Macaca fascicularis: one gene and its partner. The protein of the gene in region 1 purifies or fractionates together with the protein of each later gene. This does not show direct contact. Links are inferred from orthologs where the notes say so. Each region holds a gene or a part of one and is shown on either strand. Other genes may lie near its edges.

Region 1 (4,772 bases):
ATTTTAGACACTACAGGCCCTCAAGTGGATAAGAATTATAGAATTTCAGTGGTCTTTCATGTTTTCTGGTCTGATTGCCAATTTAATGCTTGAATCTCCTGCTAAGTCATTATTCTAAAGCCATTAATGGCATCTCTGAATATCACTGGTTGCTAGAGAGGTATTTTTCTGATATTGACTCATAAGCAACCTCATTATAGTTTCCATAATTTTATGTTGATAACGTTTTCATTCTTTTTAATCTTGGGAAGGCAGATTGTTGACTGGTGATTAATATGAGCCATTGGGGGAAAATATTGTTAAAAATTAAATAAACTTGACAGAAAGGATGCTTCTCATTATCAGCCTATCTTTGCAGAGAACTTTCTAGGTAGACCACTATTCTATACACAGATCACTCTACTGGGTCAGACTAGCCTTTGTGAAAAGGGAGGTGTTGTGGCAGGTAGTTATGTGGGAAGTGCTGCCATTACTATCTCTGTGACTTGTACGCAAATCACTGTGACTGAGGCTGTGCCTCAAGGGTATAAGATCTGTACCTACCTCATGGAGGCTTTGTGAGAATTACATGGCAAATACATGTAATGCACAAGGCAACACTATCATAAATATTTGATTTCCATTACTTCTGCTACATTTCCGGTTGAAGAAGACCATTTTACTGGAGTGAAGTAATTCTGAGCTGGGACACAAGACAGGCTCTGTCCTCAGCTCTGTCATTAACTGGCTTTGCAATGTCATTGTGTTGACACTGACTCAATGACTCCAAATGCCATATTCTTTACCACTAGGTGACAGTGCACATTTGAAATCACATAGGATTGAAATACATGTATATTTTTCAGTCCATATGGAATTAAACCCCATATTTTGACTCACTGAATATCCTCAGAGTGTAACTGGACAGCTTTACAGAGGTCTCTGTGGTTATCTGGGCACTGTAAGAGCCTGTGTCTTCCATCTCCAGGTTGCTGAGTTTCAGGGAGTAGGACTGGGTGAAGTTCAGTCGCTTTCGCTGTTTAGGATGAGTCACGCGGATATTTGGACTTTTGGTTTCAGAGGGTTCTATGAAGGCAAGAGATGTTCCATTGCAAAGCCAAGTGATGGACGCGATCATCTCTCCAGCAGAAAGCTCCAGGGGAAGAATTACCGACTCTCCCAGAACCCCATTCACCATCAGTGGGGTTGAGCTGCTTTGTGAAACTAGATTCCCTGTAAACACAGAAGGAAAAGGTTTTACAAATGTTCCTGACAATCTCCCTGCCAAGTCCTGCACCCTTTCACCTAACTCTGCCAGTCTGTTAGAGCTCTCTGATACCAAAACTCAGAGATATGACAGAGTAAGAAAGCATAAGGAGATGGTTCTAAACGAATAATCACAGTCCCAGAGCTTCACCTCTAGCAAAATGTCAGCCACTCTTGGTTAGTAGGCAGCTAGTCTATATGAAACTGGCTCAGTCCACGCTGGGTTCTACACTGGCTGGTCACTCCTAGGTCATAACTATACTTTGTGACCCCAGCCTCTGAATTCCTCTGACATTAGGTTGAGGGGGACAGGAAACTATAGACTCCAAAAACTGCAAGTCTTTGCTAATAAAGTATAATTAAAGCCTGATATTTACTGATTGCCTACTGTGTGTCCATCTTAGTAGGCTTGTGCAATTTAGAAGGCTGGTAATAGGGACTAATATCAGGGATTTATAGGATAGTCAGTTCTTCTTATACATTATTTCATTGATGCTGACTACAATCTGTGAGGCAGGCAGGATGGATATTATTACTTCCATTTATAGATAAAGGAACTGAGCCACAGAAAGGTTAACTAATTTTCCCAGGGTTGCACAGCTAAAGAATAGCAGAGTCAGGATTCAAACCCAGGTCTTCTGACTCCAGTGACTTTGTATTCTTTTCATTATACCAGAAGATATTTCTTTATTCTCTCAGAAAGATTAGGAGGAGACAAAATTGATACACATAGAAATAATATATATAATTTCATAGTAACACATGATGGCCACATTCTTGTGAGCTTATTCAGAACTATCAATGTTTAAGCAAAAAAGGTGAAATAGTCACAATGATTCTTAAAGAAGATGCTTCCTTAGCATCCTTTCCCAAATTCTTAGCAATTCTCACACTATTTTGTAATCTTGTTCACCTGTTTGTCTAACTGACCATGCCTTAATCATCCTTGCATGTCAGTACTCAGCACCATGTCTGACACGTAGTAGAGTCTGTGGAAATGTTCTAGAGGGTCAATGAATAAATAACCATAATCATTACCTAACCTTCTCAGGATCTCTTCCTTCTTTTTCTTAAAAATTTCAACTTTTATTTTAGATATGAGGGTACATGTGCAGGTTTGTTACATGGGTATATCGCACCCAGATAGTGGGCATATTAACTAATAGGTAGTTATTCAACCCATACCCATTCCCTTCCTTCCACCTCTAGTAGTCCACAGTGTCTATTAATCCCATATTTATGTCCATGTGTGCTCAGTGTTTGGTTCCCACTTATAAGTGAGAGCATGTCATATTTGGTTTTCTGTTTCTGTGTTAGTTTTCTAGGATTATGGCCTCCAGCTCCACCCATGTTGCTGCAAAAGACATGATTTTATTCATTTTTATGGCTGGTTAGTATTTCATGGTGTATACGTACCACATTTTCTTTATCCAATCCATCATTGATGGGAACCTAGGTTGATCCTTGTCTTTGCTTTTATGAATAGCATAGTGATGAACATACAGGTGCATATGTCTTTTTGGTATAATCATCTATTTTCCTTTGGCATAATCATCTATTTTCCTTTGGCTATATACCCAGTAATGGGGTTGCTGGGTTGAATGGTAGCTCTGTTTTAAGTTCTTTGAGAAATCTCCAAACTGCTTTCCACAGTGAAAATTTACATTTCCCGCTAACTGTATAACTGTTTGCTTTTCTCTGTAACCTCACCGTGGGACCTAGCACCTATTTTTTTTTATTTTTTGACTTTTAATAATAGCCATTCTGACAGAATAGTAAGGGTCCAGTTTCAATCTTCTGTATATGGCTATACAAAAATATAAAAAAGTAGATTAGTGTATTCTGAGTTTTCTATTCTCTTCCAGCTGTCATTCTGACAGAATGGCTATTATTAAAAAGTCAAAAAAGTGTATTCGTCCATTTTCACACTGCTGATAAAGACATACCCAAGACTAGTAATTTATAAAGGAAAGATGTTTTATTGACTCACAGTTCCACATGGCTGGGGAGGCCATGGCACTCACAATCATGGCGAAAGGTGAAGGAGGCACAAAGTCACTTTTTTTTTTTTTTTGAGATGGAGTCTCGCTCTGTCACCCAGGCTGGAATGCAGTGGTGCAATCTCAGTTCACTGCAAGCTCCGCCTCCTGGGCTCATGTCATTCTCCTGCCTCAGCCTCCCGAGTAGCTGGGACTACAGGTGCCCGCCACCACACCCGCCTAATTTTTTGTATTTTTAGTAGAGATGGGGTTTCACTGTGGTCTCGATCTCCTGACCTTATGATCCACCTGTCTCAGTCTCCCAAAGTGCTGGGATTACAGATGTAAGCCACCGTGCCCAGCCAAAGTCACATCTTACATGGTGGCAGGCAAAGAGAATGTGTGCAGGGGAACTCCCCTTTATAAAACCACCAGATCTCATGAGATTTATTCACTATCATGAGAATAACACAGGAAAGACCTACCCCCATGATTCGATTACCTCCTATCGGGTCCCTCCCATGACATGTGGGAATTATGGGAGCTCTACAGTTCAAGATGAGATTTGGGTGGGGACACAATCAAACCATATCATAAACCAAACCAGCATCTATTTTTTTTTTTTGACTTTTATTAATAGCCATTCTGACTGGTGTGAGATGGTATTTCATTGTGGTTTTGATTTGGATTTCTCTGATGATTACTGATGTTGAGCATTTTTTCATGTTTGTTGACTACTTGTATGTCTTCTTTTAGGAAGTGTCTGTTCATGTCCTTTGCCCATTTTTTAATGGGGTTTTTGCTTATTGGTTTAAGCTCCTTATAGATTCTGGATATTAAACCTTTGTTGGATACATAGTTTGCAAATATTTTCTCTCATTCCGTAAGATGTCTGTTTACTATAATGATAGTTTCTTTTGCTGTGCAGAAGCTCTGTAGTTTACTTAGGTTCCACTTGTCAATTTTTGTTTTTGTTGCAATTGCTTTTGGGGACTTAGCCAAAAATTATTTGCCAAGGCCAATGTCAAGAAGGATATTTCCTATTTTTTTCTAGGATTTTTATAGCTTGAGGTTTTACATTTAAATATTTGATCCATCTTGAGTTAATTTTTGTATATGGTTAAAGGTAAGGGTCCAGTGTCAATCTTCTGCATATGGCTAGCCAGTTATCCCAGCACCATTTATTGAATAGGGAGTCCTCTCCCCATTGCTTGTTTTTGTAGGCCTTGTCAAAAATCAGATGGTTGTAAGTGTGTGGCTTTATTTCTGAGTTTTCTGTTCTCTTCCAGTTGTCTATGTGTCTGTTTGTGTACTGGTACCATGCTGTTTTGGTTACTATAGTCTTATGGTATGGTTCAAAGTCAGATAGTGTGATGTCTCTGGCTTTGTTGTTTTTGCTTAGAATTGCTTCAACTATTTGGGCTCTTTTTTTGGTTCCATATGAATTTTAGAATAGTTTTTCTAATTCTGTGAAGAATGACATTGGTAGTTTGATAGGAATAGCATTGAATCTAGAAATTGCTTTGGCCATTTTAACGATGTTGATTC
Region 2 (4,095 bases), on another chromosome or scaffold:
ATCTGCCTTTGGTGCAGGTCAGCTCTGTACATCCAATCCATTGGTAAGCCACGTGAGGAATTAAGTGTCGTTCTCCCTATTGAGCTTCCAGGCTTGCCATATTCTCCAAGAACTACACACTGAAGTTGCAGAAAGCATATAATAGACGACATAGCTTCAGCTATTTAAGTTCCAATTTTAAAAGTACTTTACATAATCTAAAGGTACATGTATAAGACCATTCAGCTTCAGCAATAAATAAAGTCTTACTCTAGTGAAAATGCAGGAAGTTTTGGGGAAATATTACCTAGCACATTTTGAAATAGAAGCAATGCTTTATTTCAGAGAAGAAAATGCAGATTGAAAGGTTTTAAAATATTAAAGACAGTTTAGCATCAATTGAAGAAATAACATTTTCTAGAAACAACAGAGAATAAAAGTTACAATAATATTATCAACAACTTGCAAATGATTCAAAACAGATTTTATGGCCAAAATGCTGAAAGTTGGGCCCTATACACCAAAGGGCACATACAAATGCATATAAAGGCAAAGCACCAGTTAAATGATTCACAGTCTCATGTAAAGCCCATCAAATAGATAAATCTGGAAAATCTTTGGATGTACATTGTGACTTTTGTATCTCAACTAGCACTTTGGGACCTTGGACAAGGTGTTAGGAAAGAAATCAATATTTACTCAGGACCAAGACTTTCAAGATGACTGCGTGAGGTAGAAGGAAGAGGGAGAAGAAGAACTTGCCCAAAGTTCACTGTTCATCTACTATGTCCGATTCTGTGGGAGTCTTCATGGCCATGTTCAGTAATGATTTCATACTGACAGTACTGATAAAACCATCAGTGTTTTGTTCTCAGAGCTTTTGATCCTTTCATTTTGTTAGTATGTTTTTGCCCTACATGATGGGTCCACATACCGACAGAGACATGTACAACTTGCCTCTATCATCAACTCCTTACCGGCTAGTTGAGCTAAGTTATTCCTGGTGGCCTCTGAGTAAACTGCAAGAACAGAAGCATTACTAAGCATCCCTGTCTGAGTGCAAGGGTGTGTGTTGGCAGTACAGCCCCAATCTTGCAAAATCCTTCTTCCAATGTTCCTTCCCGCTCTGTATGAACCCTGTGTTGGGGGGCAGGAGATGGAAGCCCTTGGCAAGCTCGATTGAACTAAGCTACTAAATTGCTGAGCTCGTTTTAGTTGAAGTGTGAGAAGGAGGTTTAAGGCAAGTAGACAACATCCTGTTGTTTGGGTGCTTCTCTCTTTTTTGCACATCTGGCTGAACTGGGAGTCAGGTGGTTGACTTGTGCCTGGCTGCAGTAGCAGTGGCATCTCCCTTGTACACTTCTCCTCCTCGGCCTGCCCAAGAGTCCACCAGGCCATGGACGCAGTGGCTGTGTATCATGGCAAAATCAGCAGGGAAACAGGCGAGAAGCTCCTGCTTGCCACTGGGCTGGATGGCAGCTATTTGCTGAGGGACAGCGAGAGCGTGCCAGGAGTGTACTGCCTGTGTGTGCTGTGAGTATGATACAGTGGGCATGGGCCTGCTGAGGGTGTGGGCGGTGGGCAGCGGCAGCTGGGGCCAGGGTGGAGGCCGAGGCAGGCAGGGGCGCCGGCATTAGCAGCTCGCCGACGACGCCTCCATGGTCCGCCCTCAAGTCCAGCCCAGGGCCGTGGTGAAACACACTTTCGCCTGAGTCCCTCGCTGGGGATTTCATTCCCTGGGCCACCTGCTCTCCAGAAGGCCCTCACCAGAGCCTTTTGGGGCAGCCGCAGAGAATGCCCTTTCGGGTGCTGAAATGTGGTCTAGAGTTTACCTTCGCTCCAGGAAAGACCCAGGCTCCCCACTTCTATTTTGAACCCTATCGGGTGGTGCCCTGGGAGCCTTACTCTAGCTCTCTTTAAACGACTTTTGAAGTGTCATCCCAAAGGAAGGGCATGACATTCAGGGAGAGGAGACACATTAAGAAACAGAGTCAATTACTTTAAGAATGCAATGCCAGTAAAGTCGAGATGCTGAGAGAGGAGGGGGATGTGTATGAGTAAAATCACCTCTCTGGATCTGCTGATGTAGCATCCTTTAGAAAAGTAGTGGGGGGTGGGGAGGGGCAGGGGATTTCAGAAATAGGACCCTTCTTGATAAACGTTAGGACTCACAATAGTCTTAAAGGGAATGGAGGGAAAACACCCTTGTTATGATTCAGCTTTGCCATTTGCCTAGGCATGTCTCAGTCTAAGGCTTCATTTTGAATCAAATTCATCTGCGTCTTTGCTCCAGGGCTGCGGAGTCAGGCAGATCTGAGACTTTGTCCTGTGCTAGTCAGATGTTAGGCTTGTGACCTGGGCAAATTAACCTCTCAGTCCCCCAGTTTTCTTATCCATTGAATAGGTATCATATTACTGCCTACCTCATAGGATTGTAAGATTAAGTGCTATAATGCAGTAAAAAAATTAGCACTGGGGCCTGACACCTAGTAAATGTTCAATAAATGTAAGCTATTGGTATTGTCATTATACCAAAAATATATTGTTATTTTATCTTCTCTTTTCAGTTGATTTCTTTTAGGAATCATGGGGGCATTTCTAAGGAAGGACCTAGCTCAAGCATTATTGTCAGCAGGATAAAAAAAATCCATGAAAACAGCAGCCCTGCATAGTAGGTTCTAGACAGAAACCAAATGAGGTTAAATGCTTGGTAGTAAGTTCAGCATCTGATGATACCCCACAAGAGTTTGAAATACCTTATGGGTCAGTGAAGAAAGATTATCCTGATGCTGGTGCTAGAGGATTTTCACTGTATATTGGTTTTCAAAAATGGTCAAGCCTTGTTTGTGGCAGCTCTCAGGTCATGCTAAATACATTTTTCATAAAGGCTTCCAGGGAAATACGTGGAAGTTATTGAATGTCTTGGGCTTGAATCTTTATGTTTTGCTTATATAATTATGTTCCCGTGTGGAATCTAGGGAAGGGCAATGAAAATCAGCTAGGATTCTTAGGCTCTTTTCTCATTGAGAGAAGGTGGAGTGAGTGGGTGGGTGAAAGGCGCTGCTTTAGGGAAACTGACAAAGGAGATAATGTGCTCCTTAACCCAAAGGTGAAAAAGAACATACAAAACAAGTCTGGGCAGGGGAGGGACAACAGGGTATAGTGAGAGGCAAGATACACCTAAGACTTCAGCCTCACCAGGCTCCTGGCCGTTTCTCAAGCTCCTCAAAAATGCCCCCACTTAGGATTTCTGTGCTTATTGTTCCTTCTGCCAAAAATACCTTCAGTTCACATGTTTGTTCAACTGCCTCCTCCCTCAGAGAGGACTTGCTTGGCCACCTATCTAGAACAAGTGCCCTCTCTCTGTCCCTGATACACTCACTCCATCTCTTTATTTTTGTTCAAAGAGCTTTAAACTATTTGATAATTTGCCTGTTTACCTACTTATTGCTGGGCTGTCCTGCAAAAATATAATCTCCATGAGGGCGGAGACATTGTCTCCATCACCAGGAACACAGGAACACATAATAGGCACTCAGCAGATATTTTTGAATTAACAAACTGTTAAGGCAAATTCTATTCTTTACTGCAAGAAAAGGAATGAACATCGAGAGGTTAGGGTGTGGACCCTGGGAAAGTCACTCAAATTCTCTGGGCCTCAGTTTCCATATTTATAAAACAGGAATAGTAATGTGTATCCTACCTTCTGCAAAAGATTGCCTTAAGTACCATATACAAGAGAGAAGGACAACTTTAGCCTTTTTCCTATGTGGGCCAGAACCACATGAGGAATTAACTTAGGCAGGTGAGAAATTCTCAAGCATTTAAGTTTTTGCCCAAAGTGAATCTTGCATAAATGCTTTTTTTATGACTCTCAGTTCTCCATGAAAACTGCCTTGTGAAGTAGCGGAAAATACTAGACAAATTGGGAGTTCCCTTACGGTGTCTTTCAAATGGTACACTGGGGACTCAAAGTCTTATGAGACTGTTTGGGTGATAGCCAGAATGTACTGCAGAGGAAAGATATAAGGATACATTGCCTTTTATCAGTTTCTCAACGTTTTTGAGTTGAGTGTCCCTTTTGACAAATGTAAAAAATTCATTCCCTCTTTTTGG

The links. Proteins that work in one complex are often made in the same cells at the same time.
Region 2: the proteins of SLAMF6 (region 1) and SH2D1A purify together in Homo sapiens (co-immunoprecipitation; 5 studies listed by BioGRID and IntAct, with this or other methods). This does not show direct contact. The link is inferred for Macaca fascicularis from reciprocal best matches to the Homo sapiens genes SLAMF6 and SH2D1A.

What each region holds. Positions count from the first base shown.
Region 1 is NC_088375.1:100,560,306-100,565,077, reverse strand, and holds part of SLAMF6 (SLAM family member 6), read right to left. Parts: intron 1,213-4,772; coding exon 880-1,212; intron 1-879. UniProt on the Homo sapiens protein: Self-ligand receptor of the signaling lymphocytic activation molecule (SLAM) family.
Region 2 is NC_088395.1:130,579,588-130,583,682, forward strand, and holds the start of SH2D1A (SH2 domain-containing protein 1A), read left to right. Parts: upstream 1-1,295; 5' UTR 1,296-1,375; coding exon 1,376-1,512; intron 1,513-4,095.